Nothobranchius furzeri: one gene and its partners. Each later gene encodes a partner of the first gene's protein in a complex. Links are inferred from orthologs where the notes say so. Each region holds a gene or a part of one and is shown on either strand. Other genes may lie near its edges.

Region 1 (5,139 bases):
GACACCAGATTTCCATCGATGTCTGTTGCGTTGAATTCATAAATGGACGTGGCTCTCTGCCAGTCCTCTGTTGGGGACGACTGTTGACAAAGGTGGGGGAAAAAATCTTACTAGAGACATAAAGAGAAACCTTCCTGATTAAAAATATATCTTGGTGCAAATGAACAAAAATGCATTATAGAATAAATACAACGAATAAATCAAAATGTCAGTCCCTTACCATAGCCTGCAGCAGGACAGAGAGAAACACTGTGCACCCTAACAGGCGCATGGCTGCCCCTCTCTCAGCTTCTCTGTTACAGAACAATCTAATCTGTCAGAGCAACCCCCTCACTGCTGAACCTCACATCTGACAGAGCCTTAATGTACAAGGGGCGGGTCGAAATGACCAGAAATGATAAGCTGGATTTCTCCAATAGGTTCCTCTCTTAGGTCCTAACAAAACAAACCCTGATCAAAAGCACGCGTGCTGCAGGCCAAAGTTCATAGCTATGTCATAAAACTCACAGAAAGATGAGGTGCATGTGACTCGGGCGAAAGGTAAAAGTCCAATCAAACGCATAATGTGATTATTCATATAAAACAGTCTGTTACACAAGCGCGGTCAGGGCCAACAAACAAATCATATAAATCCCTGACGACAAACGAATGAGTGTTTCAAGCTGTTAGAATAAACAGCATTGTGTGCTTATGAGGTTAAAGTGCAGGAAGGAAGAAACGCTGAGCAAATCAGAAAATGTGCAATTAGAGAAGGTGATGACATCATTTACTAATACAGTTCTGATTTACAAAGATGGTCACAAATTAGACACAGAACAAAAATAAATCTAAAACTAACAGAAAAGTGTTTATACCATGAAGGTATTAATACTATGATGATGATAGGCTTATCAGCTTGTCGCAACAGGGGGGTGGGGATGATGCAGAGGAATGCTGGTGTCCTATCGTGACTTTCAACATTTACACAACCTGAAGTGCGTTGCCTGTGTAAATACTGTCTGCAATCGTGCCCGCAAGGGCACCACAGATGTCACAGCAGCCATATTCAGTTACACAACTTCTAAATCTCATTATAAAACAAGCCAAGTATCACGGAGGTTTACTTTACCGCTGCCGTGGATAAAACAAAATACAAAATCACGGCCAGTAGTGTCCCGCTGCTCGCCACAGCCCCCAAGCCCAAAACAACATATAACGGCCTCATTTAGTTATAGAAAAGGTCACTTCTGTCGAAAATCCATGCGTTGTTCGGTTGTTCGTTGTAGCTGCACGTGACTCCGCCCCGTTGTAGGCTACTAGGTGGGCCAAGGGTAAAATTATTATTATTATTATTATTATTATTATTATTATTATTATTATTATTATCATCATCATCATCATCATCATCATCACTGTTGTCGTTGTTGTTGTATTGAGCATTGTTGTCGGAAATCATGGAGTCTGCACCATTAAGTCTCTGGCGCATGTCACGGCGCGCTGTGCGAGAGGGGGAGTTTACTCACGAAGCAGCATGTACAGCACGTCACTCGCACTGAAACAAACACCCTCTATCTAATACAATCAATTAGAGGTCGTACAGAGTTTCACCATTTGATGGCTTTAACGTTCAAATCGAAGGAGGAGGGTGTTGGATAAATTATTTACTTTATCTGGGACATGGATTAGATCATGCCCCCATTATTTATCTGCACAGAAAGATTGCTGGGGTGTTCGGTCTTACACAATCAGACTAAATACAGCAACACCCACTTTTCACACCTTGTTCATTTAGGATACGATTCGTGGCGCACACAGTCTTGACACATTTCCGTGTACTGATCCACAATGATGCATCTAGTCTGATTGTGTAAGAACGAACAAATGGTCTGACTCCAGCATGCTTTCCATACTGATAAATAATGGGGACATGATGTAATTAAAATTATCCAACAGGGGACACAAATCTGCCCTCTAGTGGCGAAAATCTTTATTTAACTAACAGAACAGCGGCGGTGATTGCTGGTTTATGATGACGTCTTTGAAGTTAATTTGCTGGAAAAGCCTCGTTGTAAGATGGCACTGTCGTTAACAAATGCTAGAGGCGCAATAACTTTAGAAGGTCTCTGAACCAAGCGAAAAACCCCATTCCTGGTCTTTAGTCAGATAAAAAAGCACATGAACACCGGCAAAGCAGAGAAGGAGCAAACCCCTTCAGGTCAGCTTTTCTGACGTCATCAGCCTGTGTCAGTCAATCGGGAAACGTGCGTTCGCTTAAAGAGCGATATTGATAACAAAAAAAAAATCATTTTCTGACCAAATCTAGTGCACACAGCTTATTTAGCAGGACATGGATGATGAAGAGGAAACATATAGACTTTGGAAGATCCGCAAAACCATCATGCAGGTTCGTTAGGTTTGAATGTTTTCTTTATTTAGCTTGTTAGCCTCTTTTAGCTCGTTAGCTCAACATGAATGAATGTATTTTTTATCACTGAAGTTCCGTTAAATTTGACTTGTGTACTCCTTATTTTAACATTATGACAGCCTGGCTAAACACTAGCTTGTTCAACACTTGTTCCACTGGTATTTTAAGCAGTTTACCAAAGTACGAAGCAAGACTAGCGGCTCTAACCTGACTGCAACAATTGTTTCTGTAAAATTTAAATAAGTGTGTTTAAGTTCGACAAAATAACAGACGAATTATTTAATTTTAATGTTTATTAAATGAGTTTTCTGATACCTTCTCTGATGTTTTCCTCCTTCAGCTGTGCCATGATCGAGGTTACCTTGTGACCCAGGACGAGTTGGACCAGACTCTGGAGGAGTTCAAGAGTCAGTTTGGAGACAAACCGAGCGAAGGTCGTCCCAGACGAACAGATCTCACGGTGCTGGTGGCACACAATGATGATCCCACTGACCAGATGTTTGTTTTCTTTCCCGGTATGTTTATTTTAACTGGGAGATTGAACAGAAATGGAGACCAGGTGACTTTTGTGACTTTTGCTCAGTGCATCAGTCTTTTCTAGAAGTAACTGGGTGATTACATTTGGAACAGAGAAGCGTGTTTGATTTGAAGAAAATTGTTATGAATTCATCTTTTTTTTGTCCATTTTTGTCCCACCAGAGGAACCCAAGGTGGGGATCAAGACCATTAAAATGTACTGTCAGAGAATGCAGGAGGAGAATATCACTCGAGCCATCATCGTTGTTCAGATGGGCATGACGCCTTCAGCAAAACAGGTATGTTTATGTTCATGTATTTAGCAGACGCTTTTGTCCAAAAGACCTACAAGTAATAATGAAGCCAGCAGGTTGCCCTTGAGGCTTACAACAAACACTAATCAGTCAATCCTAGGTGGCAGTGAGGCAGCATAATGAATCGTAAAGGGAAGTGAATAAGGAGTGGACAGTAGAGTGGGGGACGGGTGCAGGGAGGGTGCTAGCTTAGAAGATGCTCTCTGACGAGCTGGGTCTTCAGGAGTTTCTTGAAAATGGACAAGGTCAAAGAGATCTCGCAGTACAGGCAGGAAGACCAGTTAGAAGGGCATTGCAGTAGTTGAGGTTGGAGATGACTGTAGATTGAACCAGGAGCTGGGTGGCATATTTTGTTAGATATGGTCTGATCTTTTATATGTTATACAGCATGAAGCGGCATGAACGAGTGACAGAGGCAACTTGATCTTTAACTCATTTCCTGCCATTGATGACTAAAGTCATCATTTGTATTTTTTTTTTTACTGTGTGGGTGTCGGAACGAGCTCCCGTACCGTGAGAACAAACATCCCAGCTCTAAAGCTGATCTTTATCCATGTACATCACACGTCACATGATCAGGAAGCAAAAAATCCATGTGTTAGGAGATCGTTTTGGGCTGCTGCTGTAAAAAAAAAAGTGAGGCACGATCCAGAAAAGCTTCTGCCGATCACAATTCGACAACGGATTATGAAAAAATGGATAACACTCTAAACACGCAGATTATTCCAGATGTAAGAGGTGAGTCTACTCTTTGTTTTGGTAGTTTGGGCGTTGACATCATCATAGAGTGCAACGTTCGGTGACTTTTCAAAAAACTGTGAAAACGCTGAAAACCTCTGGCAGCGAAGGGCTTTACTGATCAGGAAACGACCGGAAGGTAATGAGTTAAAGGTCAGCTGGTCATAAATCACAACACCCAAATTTCAAATTGTGTGTGAAGGAGCCAGAGATAGGGGCTCGTTTTGCATTGAGATATTGTGTCGTATGGATGGGTTTGCTGGGATGTCAAGTAATTCAGTTTTTGAGAGGTTGAGTTGGGGATGGTGAGATTTCATCCATCTTGATATATCAGAAAGACAGTCCAAGATTTGTACAGAGACTGTGAGGTCGTCCGGACGAGAATGACAGATAGAGCTGGGTGTCGTCAGCATAGCAGTGGTAGGAGAGGCCATGCGATCGAATGATCTCACCCAATGTGGTGGTGTATGTGGCAAAGAGAAGAGGTCCTAGTAAAGAGCCCTGGGGGACTCCTGTGGCAAGATGGTAAACAGCAGAAGATTGTCCGAGTCAGGTAAGATTCAAACCAGGAGTGTGCTTTCCCTGTGATGCCCATGCTAGAGAGTATGGACAAAAAGAAGCCACGGTTGACTGTGTCAAATTCAGATAAGTCAAGCAGGATAAGCACTGAGGATTTGGGCAGTCGCTCTAGCTTATTTTAAGGCTTCAGTGGAGTGGCCATTTTTGAACCCAGATTTGTATGGGTCAAGCAGATAGTTTTGTGAGAGGTGCTCTGCAACCTGCTTGAAGGCCGCCTTTTCGATGATTTTAGACAGGAACGGGAGGAGAGAGATAGGTCGGTAGTTCTCCACACGATTTGGAGGAAGGGAGTTGGTTTCTGAGTGTCAGAAGTGCTGAGAATTTTGTCAGTGTAGAAAGCTTTCTTTGCATTAGTGATGCTGGCAGAGAATGAACTTTGTACCGTTTTTAGATCAAATGATAACATTAAGGACAGGAAACCTGATGAAATGGGGTTGTCCAGATGAATATTCATGTCTCCAAGGACCATTGTGGGACAGTCATGCTCAGGAATGGAGGAGAGCAGGGTGTCAAGTTCATCTAGAAAGTCTCCGTGTTGTCCTGGTTGTCGATATATAACAACCATAAAGAATAATTTTCGGTGCAGTT
Region 2 (4,595 bases), on another chromosome or scaffold:
CAGCCTGTTGATGGACAGACCTCAAACCAGCAGGTCCCTGAGGACATCTTCAGCTACTATGAACAGATGGATAAGGATGAAGAGGAGGAGGAGGAGACTCAGACAGTGTCCTTTGAAGTTCGACAGGTACCACATTTATTGTTTTTTTACAGAAATAATAGGAAGACCATCAACACCCTGTGCTTCATCTGCTGCAGGAGATGATTGAAGAGCTACAGAAGCGTTGTATCCAGCTGGAGTACCCCCTCCTAGCGGAGTATGACTTCCGAAATGACACAGTTAACCCAGACATCAACATAGACCTGAAGCCCACTGCCGTGCTGCGGCCCTACCAGGAGAAGAGTCTGCGCAAGATGTTTGGAAACGGGCGAGCCCGATCAGGAGTCATTGTGCTACCCTGTGGTAGGAAAGCTAGTCCAGAGCTGCCAGGAGAATACAAAACGTTTATTGATAAAATGCAGACTATAAGTTAGAACAGCAAGAAAACAAATGACTGATTTCTTGTTTCTGATTTGAAGGTGCTGGGAAGTCTCTGGTTGGCGTGACAGCGGCGTGCACCGTGCGTAAGCGCTGCCTGGTGCTGGGTAACTCGTCTGTATCTGTGGAGCAGTGGAAGGCCCAGTTCAAGATGTGGTCCACCATCGACGACTCTCAGATCTGCCGCTTCACCTCCGACGCCAAGGACAAGCCCATTGGCTGCTCGGTGGCCATCAGCACCTACTCTATGCTGGGTCACACCACCAAGCGATCATGGGAGGCTGAAAAGGTCATGGAGTGGATGCGGGGCCAGGAGTGGGGGCTTATGATCCTGGATGAGGTGCACACCATCCCTGGTGAGCTCTCGGCAAAATCCAGATAATAAAACCGTTTATTTTTTTATTTTGAATGCAATGGGACGTGGACCTTGTGTTTAATGTGAATTAATAATGTTATTTTTGTCTGCAGCAAAAATGTTCCGACGTGTTCTGACCATTGTCCAGGCCCACTGCAAACTGGGCCTTACTGCCACACTGGTCAGGGAAGATGACAAGATTGTGGACCTCAACTTCCTCATTGGGCCCAAGCTGTATGAAGCCAACTGGATGGAGCTGCAGAACAATGGTTATATTGCCAAAGTTCAGTGTGCAGAGGTAGGTCCTGTAACACTAGAACATAAATGGAAGATTTTAGGAGTAAAACTGGTATTCTTTTAAAACATTAAGCTAGTCACCAGAGCTTTGATGTGCAGTAATTAAACAGTGAGCCGATAAACCAAAATGAGATTCAAGAACACCTCAATAAACTTTCAGATCATTATGATTAGAGGTTCTTTAAATATCTGCTGCATCCTAGACTGGAAATTTCTTGGCAATTCTGCTAAAACAAGTGTGTGTAATGCAAATGTTTTAACAGGTTTTAAAACTATTGTTTACGGGAATTTGGAGTTGTTTTAATATGACAACATGCTTTGGATGTGGGTCTATTTTGAACCATATTTACAAGCTAAAACTTTTCCAAACCTCAAGGTTCAAGGGCATAGCAATCGTAAGAGTTGAAGATTGAAGAATCATTTTTATTTGAGAATCATTTTAGATGAGAGGTGAAGTTTCACCAAGATACAAGAAAATAAATATAGCTGTCCTTTTGTTTGGGCATTCTCTAAAGATCCGAGGGCTCTAGTGGACGATCAAAGAGATTATACTGATATTTGAATAGATGACTAGATACGGCAGCACTGAAAGGATTAACTTGTTTAAAATCAAGACTAAGGCTTTGACAGCAGCTACTGTGTGTCCTGTTGGGTTTAGTAGATATACTTAAGTTTTGATTATCTGGTTTTTACTTCTGAAAGTTTGTACAGCGCTGATTAAGTGGATCCCTGTGTGTGTGTGTGTGTGTGTGTGTGTGTGTGTGTTTCAGGTGTGGTGCCCCATGTCTCCAGAGTTTTACAGAGAGTATGTGGCCATTAAAACAAAAAAGCGCATTCTGCTTTACACAATGAACCCCAACAAGTTCCGGGCTTGCCAGTTCCTCATTCGCTTCCACGAGCGGCGCAACGACAAGATCATCGTCTTTGCCGACAACGTGTTTGCCTTGAAGGAGTACGCCGTTCGGCTCAACAAGTGAGCTTTCAGCGACAGAAGTTTTTCAAATTGTTGCATTAAGTATTCCTGAAATTTTTAATGATACCTTTTGTTGTTTTATGCAAGGCCTTACATCTATGGCCCCACCTCTCAGGGAGAGCGTATGCAGATTTTGCAGAATTTCAAACACAACCCAAAGATCAACACCATATTCATCTCCAAGGTGAAGTGTTCACCCGTCTCTCGCACACACACACTCGCACTTTTCGTTCCAAGTGCGAAGGAGGGGTGCCCTTTGATCCTTAAGAATTTTCTTGAAGCTTTATCTCGTCCGGGAACATCTTCTCTAACACCCTAACAAGCCTAGCCATCATTTAATTTACACTAATTGTCCCACCTTCAAAATAGATTTTAATGTATTTAGTGCTTAATGCTTATACAGTGATTTGTTCTGCACTAAAGCTTTGATGTTTGTTCGTACTTGCAGGTAACCTTGGGTTTAGATTTGTCCAAAGTAACAATACTGTTGATGAAAATGTATTATGTATATTAAATACGATTTATTTATTCAGAAAATTAACAAGGCCAGTAATTACTTAAGTAATGTTAGTTGTTCTCTGTGTAATTTGCATTTAAAAATCAATTCTTTGGTAAAAAAAAAACCAAGTCAACTCTTTTTTTTTGTTGTAGTATCAGAATTTCATATTTTTATGAAATAATTCAGAGAAATAACTTATTTTTCCCTCTCTTTAAATGTAAAGGTAAAGAGTAAAACTACAATTGGAAATGAAATAGTTGATTTCTATTATTAACATTTTTATTTTATAAGATTAGATTGCAACTTCAGGGCTGTAATTATGAGTTATCCTGGATTCTCCTTCAATTTTCATTTGGTAAGCCAGATAGGTCAAATTAAAAATTAAACATAAAGCATGCTAACTTGCTTTTGTAGCAGATCACAACGTTTTCATGAAATCAGATGTTTTTGCACAAAATAACAAAACATTCTAAAATAACACGGGTAAAAATGTAGGTCTTTACATTTGTGGCTACATGTGAAAATCAGTCAAGCAGCAGAGTAAAACTAACAGACTTCTGTGTTGTTGTTTAATGTGTGTGTTTTTTTTAATGTTTTCAAAGGAAGTGGAGACCAGAGGTGGAAATTACTAAAATTTCCTACTTAAGTACGAGTTCCAACACTTTGATAATTCTTTAGTACAAGTAACAGTATTAGCCAAAATTTGTACTCAACCAATAGTAAAAAGTATTGTAATTAAAATGTACGCAAAGTAAAGGTTACTTTTTTGTCAGAATAAGGACCTAAGTGCAAAATCATAACACTAGCGCACAACTCGCTTGCATGCAGGCACACACACGCACGCACGCACAGGACACACTGCATTATTTTAGAATCGTTTGAATGTTTGAATTACTAATTAAACTAAGGTAATGAGCTGAATATTCTTTTGCCGCTGCCGTGCGGAACAGTTTGAGGAATACATTTCAAAGGCGGAACCTCGTCTGGCTACCAAACCGAGCAGTATACTGCCGTAACATCAGTGCATGGAGGTGTGGGTTTCAACCAACAGGAGAGGGAGGGAGAGGGGGGAACAGCGAGTGCATCACAGGGTTTAAACTGATGTTTTTGAGCAAAACTGCAGCAAAAGTGTGGCTGTTTAATGCCCTCATTATAAAAAGTGTACACCCACACCCCCCACAGGTGAGACGCTTTGCTCATGCAGGTGTCTCTTCCTGTTCCAACACTGCAAAGCACAAGATCTTAAATTTATTATTAAGCCTTTTTGACTCTGTAACGGGTATGATGTAACGTAGTAATGAAGTACTAAAAAATAAAATAAAAACATACTCAAGTAAAAGTACAGACTTTTAAAATGACTGAAAAGTACAAATAAACAAAAAAGCTACTCAATTACAGTAACTATTACTTTGTACCTCTGGTGGAGACACCAGCTTTATTCAGCTTTTTGCTGCATTGTGTATTTTTATTCATTTATTTTTTACCATCCAGCTGGTCAGTCTGGTTCTGTTAAATATAAATTTAGAGACCTTATGCATAAATTGCTGAGGATGTCAGAGTTATTTTTGTTAGCTGGAAGTTGCTGGTGAATGTTCTCATCCAGGGCATGGTAAGTTCAGGAGAAGACAACTGGACATCTTTATTTATGAAGATGTTTTGCAAGAAGCTGTCCCAAGATTTGTCATCTATGCCCTCATCTGAACCTACTAGGACAACTGAGTTACAAATAACATGCTAATCTCACAAACTTAACTTGACTTAAATAATTTCTCAAAATTAGACACTCAAGTTACCAAAGGGATAATCCTGGTGCAAATAATTTTTTTTTTAACATTTGCTTCAGACATATTTGATTTGATCTAAAACAATTTGTCACAGTAATTTAATAGTAATGCTGAATAACAGAATGTGTTACCAGGTTGGAGACACTTCTTTTGACTTGCCAGAAGCCAACGTTCTGATACAGATTTCTTCCCACGGTGGATCACGCCGAC
Region 3 (4,595 bases), on another chromosome or scaffold:
GCCAGTGCGCATCATCAAGCGGGACATTGTGACAGGACACTCACACTGCCAAAGTTGGATGATTTTCAAAATAAGAGACTCCCACGTGTGGCATTAAAAAAAATAAATAAATCACATTTACCAGTTTTAGTGTTTGGCGCTTGGCTACACGGCAAAATCTACACTACAGATGAGAAAATCGTCAAATATTTCAAGATTAGCTCAGACCAATCGAGATCACAATTTCAGACTGGCTACACGTCACATCCAACCGGCAGAATGTCTGACCAAGACATTCCATCACGTTTAATATCCCGATTTGTGATCGGGAGCAGTCCTGCAGTCCTTCCGAGCAGACCAGAGAGCTATTAACACACCACACACGGCAGGAATATCTGATAAAACTATCTTTAAATCTGTTACAATAATCAGGCAGATCCTTGAGATGGTCAGGAGGAGAATTGGGAAAGAAACTGGCGTGAAATGGTGTTCTGTCCAATCACCATACGTTGTCAAGATTAGCATACGCGTGTTACAGCATACGCCTGACAGCACATGTCTGTCAGATCATACATTTAAGCTATATGACAATGTGATAGGCCACTTTGTCCATCAGATAATCATACTTGTTTAAAACGACCGTACGATCCCTTGACTTGTCCATTTGATAAATTTTAAAGCTTTATTTTCTAAATGTTTAGAATTAGAAGGTAGTAAAATAAAAGTGTGATACACAATCATCAGTTCATTTTTGTGGTAAAAAATTATGAACACAGTCGATAAACATTTTCCTTGTACTTTGTCGTTTGTATGCTTGACTCACAGCTCCTCGAACATAACATGACATAGTTGGACGCTGCTCCGTTAGAACACTGGGCCAAAAGCTCCTTATTAGCATCTCCAACACTTAAGGAGGTGCAACAAGATCAAACTCAAACTCATGCGATCTGTTAGGGCTCTGATGTGAATGACTCGACTACCAACAAATTTTAGCTTAACATCTGTAAAATGCACGTCGCTATTTTTGTGTCAGCTAGCATCATTTAGCTCTGGCCGCCTTCTAAATGAAACTTTAAAACACACTGCAGTTGCATTTTAATCAATCCAATCGTGCTGTTTTACAACGCCTGCGACAGATGAGCGTTTACCTCGACATAACTCAGAATGAACGGATCCCAGACTCCTGGACTTTTCAAAATCTCTTGTAGATGCACAGAAGCTTGTCTGAAATAGTTATGCAAGTCTTGGTGATCAGAGTCAAATGGATCTGAAAAAAAAAAAAAAGAAATAATTTTTTTACAGCCAGCTCTGCAGCTTGTCTGCTGCACATGCAGTTACTTTATTTAACCGTTAGAGGGCAGTATAGGACCACAAATCAAACAAGTCAAACAGGCATAAAGGATGCCGCTTCTTACTATTTTTAGAGCGTGTGCGCCTTTTGTCACACCAGATTATATAATCCAACAAGCTCCTGTAGGCCTGGATCAGTTGAACCTTGTGATGCTGAGTGGCCGACTCCTTCCCATATCGCCAGCTTTCGGCGACTGATAGCTGCTGCTTTGCCTCTTCCATCTGACCATTCAGCAGCAGGTGGAAGCAATGCTCCAGGCAAATCTAAACGCACAGACAAAACGGTGTTTTCATAAAAAAGCTAAATAAAGTGCATTGCATCAAGTATGTCGGCCAGCATACCGTCAGGTAAAGTTTAACCCCAGAGTGTTTCATCCGTTCATAGGTGATGTTGCAACTTTCCATCGTTGCTCTGGGATGATGGTGAAGGATCTCGGTGCAGATTCTCCAAACAACCTGGAGTAAAGATCAACAAAATAAAGAATTAAAAAGCTAAATGTGGTCAAATATTTTATGAGGATTTTGTATATAAAAACTTCAGTGTGAATGTTGGTTCAAAACAAATATAATAAAACAAAGTTAAGTCACCTCTTTATACAGCACAGCTGTGGCTCCGTTCCGGTCCTCTAGGATTTGAGGGTAGGACGCCATGTAGTCCGCTGCCTCTTGCCATCTATGACGCAGCATGGCTTCTCTGATGTGCTCCAAACACATCTGAACACTTCGTCTGAACCCAGTTTCTTTGTCCATCTCTGAAAACATTCATATTATTTGACCACTAAAACCCTTTCCAGGCATTTATGCTCTTTAAATATAAAAATACTCACACTTACTGCAGCTCTTCTCCACTTTTAAAGCAAGCTCATCTGTTTGCTTTGGGAGTTTATTTAACTGATGTTTGAAGGTTACAAAAAAAATTTCATTCTCATCATAAATAAGCCTGGTTTTGCATTTTAATGTAAGTCCATTTTGATTCTAGTGTAATAAATTTAAGAGTAATTCCCAACAGTGCAACTCTGCAACTTGCTAACATAAACTGGTGACTGTACTCATTAAAATATAGTAATTTTGACATTTTTAGACATCACTAATCGGAAAATTTAAGTTATACAAATTTTTGACTTTAGGACAAAGTTTACTTTGAGTCAGGGATGAGGTCCTGATCCAAGTGGAGGAGTTCAAGTATCTCGGGGTCTCCTTCACAAGTGAGGGAAAGATGGAACACGGGATCGACAGGCGGATTGGTCTGCATCTGCAGTGATGTGGGCTTTATACCGATCTGTCGTGGTGAAGAGAGAGCTGAGCCAATGATTCACCGGTCAATCTACCCTCACCTATGGTCACGAGCTTTGGGTAGTGACTGAAAGAATGAGATTGTGGATACAAGCGGCCGAAATGAGTTTTCTCTGCAGGGTGTCTGGACTCTCCCTTATAGAAAGGGTGAGAAGCTCGACCATCTGGGAGGGGCTTGGAGTGAGCCCGCTGCTCCTCCACATCAAGAGGAGCCAGTTGAGGTGGCTCAGACATCTAGTTAGGATGCCTCCTGGATGCTTTCCTGGTGAGGTTTTCCAGGCACGTCCAACTGGGAGAAGACCTAAAGAAAGACCCAGGACACGCTTGAGAGACTGTCTCACAGCTGTCCAAGGAACACCTTAGGAGTCCCCCGGAGTAGCTGGCCCGAGTGGCTGGGGAGAGGGAAGTCTGGGCCTCTGGATAAGTGGCTGAAAATGGACGGATGGTTTACTGGTGATGAAATACATGCGTCTGAAGTTATTCCTTAAAATATACAAATAAAAGAACATAAAACTTTGTTCAAGTGTATACGAATATAATGTCAGTTGATGATCTTATTCTGAAGAGCAACCCCTTAGTTCTCCAGGTGTGTTTAAAGCTGCCATTGCAGCACCTTTTTACAAACCGATTGCTTTTTTTTTTTTTGTTTGTTTGTTTGTTTTTTGAGAATGGATTGGTTGAGGCGGTACACCAATATGTGGTTTCTTATCTGGTAACCTAACCTGTACCAGCATCAGTTAGAAATTAACCAAACTACAACCTAAAGTCACCTCGATAAGCCACTAATCCTTCTTCGTAGTACATGACACAGGTCCTATCAGCGGATCTGGAAAAGGTTTATACATTCCACGTCTGCACAGTCTCTTTATTAGTATTACTAAGATGTAAAAGAAAAGAATGTAAGTGTGCTGTGCCTCTCACCTACAGACAGAGGTTTAACCAGAGGAAGCGTTGATTTATGCCCTTTTCTACAGCTTCTGTCTGAAGAATCACTGCCATCATCCAGGTTTTTGACAGTTGAGAAGTCTCTAACCTGGTCATCCAGATCCGCCATACTCAGTATGAAATTCTGGCACCTGCACAAAGAAATTAACACATTGAAAAAGCCATTTTCCAGTTAAGCTGATTGTGTGAAACGTACACATAATCAAAGGCATCTAAAACATGAATATTTCCATACATTTAAACACTAGAGCCATTTACTAGAATTTGTTTAACTCTATATTCTTTTAGAGAGACATGGCACTGCTTTCTATTAGTATCTAATTCTAAATGTAGAACACAAACATCTAAACTAGAGCAGGTGAACACCAACTCCAGTCCTCGAGGGCTACCATCCTGCTAGTTTTCTGTTTCCTGCTCTTCTTTCTTCTTCCATCTTCTTCTTCTTCTTTCTTCCTTTTTCTTCCTTCTTCTTCTTTCTTTTTCTTCTTCTTTCTTTTTCTTCTTTCTTCCTTCTTCCTTCCTCTTCTTCTTCCTCCTCTTCTTCTTCCTCCTCTTCTTCTTCCTCCTCTTCTTCTTCTTCTTCCTTCTTCTTCTTCCTTCTTTCTTCTTTCTTCCTTTTTCTTCCTTCTTCTTCTTCCTTCTTTCTTTTTCTTCTTTTTCTTCTTTCTTCCTTCTTCCTTCCTCTTCTTCTTCCTCTTCTTCTTCTTCTTCCTTCTTCTTCTTCCTTCTTCCTTCTTTCTTCTTTCTTCTTCCTCTTTCTTCCTTTTTCTTCCTTCTTCTTCTTCCTTCTTTCTTTTTCTTCTTTCTTCCTCTTCCTTCCTCTTCTTCTTCCTCCTCTTCTTCTTCTTCCTTCTTCCTTCTTCCTTCTTTCTTCTTCCTTCTTTCTTCTTCCTTCTTCTTCTTCTTCTTCTTCTTCTTCTTCTTCTTCCTTCTTCTTCCTTCTTCTTCTTCCTCCTCTTCCTCCTCTTCTTCTTCTTCCTCTTCTTCTTCTTCCTCTTCTTCTTCTTCTTCTAATAATAATAATAATA

Evidence for each region. Proteins that work in one complex are often made in the same cells at the same time.
Region 2: polr2eb (region 1) and ercc3 share a complex: the UniProt entries of both Homo sapiens proteins name them as parts of the TBP-based Pol II pre-initiation complex. The link is inferred for Nothobranchius furzeri from reciprocal best matches to the Homo sapiens genes POLR2E and ERCC3.
Region 3: polr2eb (region 1) and taf1a share a complex: the UniProt entries of both Homo sapiens proteins name them as parts of the pol I pre-initiation complex. The link is inferred for Nothobranchius furzeri from reciprocal best matches to the Homo sapiens genes POLR2E and TAF1A.

Annotation. Positions count from the first base shown.
Region 1 is NC_091748.1:48,493,573-48,498,711, forward strand, and holds the start of polr2eb (DNA-directed RNA polymerases I, II, and III subunit RPABC1), read left to right. Parts: upstream 1-1,923; 5' UTR 1,924-2,326; coding exon 2,327-2,383; intron 2,384-2,744; coding exon 2,745-2,919; intron 2,920-3,103; coding exon 3,104-3,219; intron 3,220-5,139. UniProt on the Homo sapiens protein: DNA-dependent RNA polymerase catalyzes the transcription of DNA into RNA using the four ribonucleoside triphosphates as substrates.
Region 2 is NC_091749.1:40,317,038-40,321,632, reverse strand, and holds part of ercc3 (general transcription and DNA repair factor IIH helicase/translocase subunit XPB), read left to right. Parts: coding exon 1-126; intron 127-197; coding exon 198-402; intron 403-518; coding exon 519-833; intron 834-945; coding exon 946-1,130; intron 1,131-1,899; coding exon 1,900-2,102; intron 2,103-2,189; coding exon 2,190-2,286; intron 2,287-4,519; coding exon 4,520-4,595. UniProt on the Homo sapiens protein: ATP-dependent 3'-5' DNA helicase/translocase. Binds dsDNA rather than ssDNA, unzipping it in a translocase rather than classical helicase activity. Component of the general transcription and DNA repair factor IIH (TFIIH) core complex.
Region 3 is NC_091742.1:8,330,366-8,334,960, forward strand, and holds part of taf1a (TATA box-binding protein-associated factor RNA polymerase I subunit A), read right to left. Parts: intron 4,578-4,595; 5' UTR 4,001-4,577; coding exon 3,957-4,000; intron 3,699-3,956; coding exon 3,544-3,698; intron 2,082-3,543; coding exon 1,918-2,081; intron 1,786-1,917; coding exon 1,672-1,785; intron 1,594-1,671; coding exon 1,395-1,593; intron 1,247-1,394; coding exon 1,128-1,246; intron 1-1,127. UniProt on the Homo sapiens protein: Component of the transcription factor SL1/TIF-IB complex, which is involved in the assembly of the PIC (pre-initiation complex) during RNA polymerase I-dependent transcription.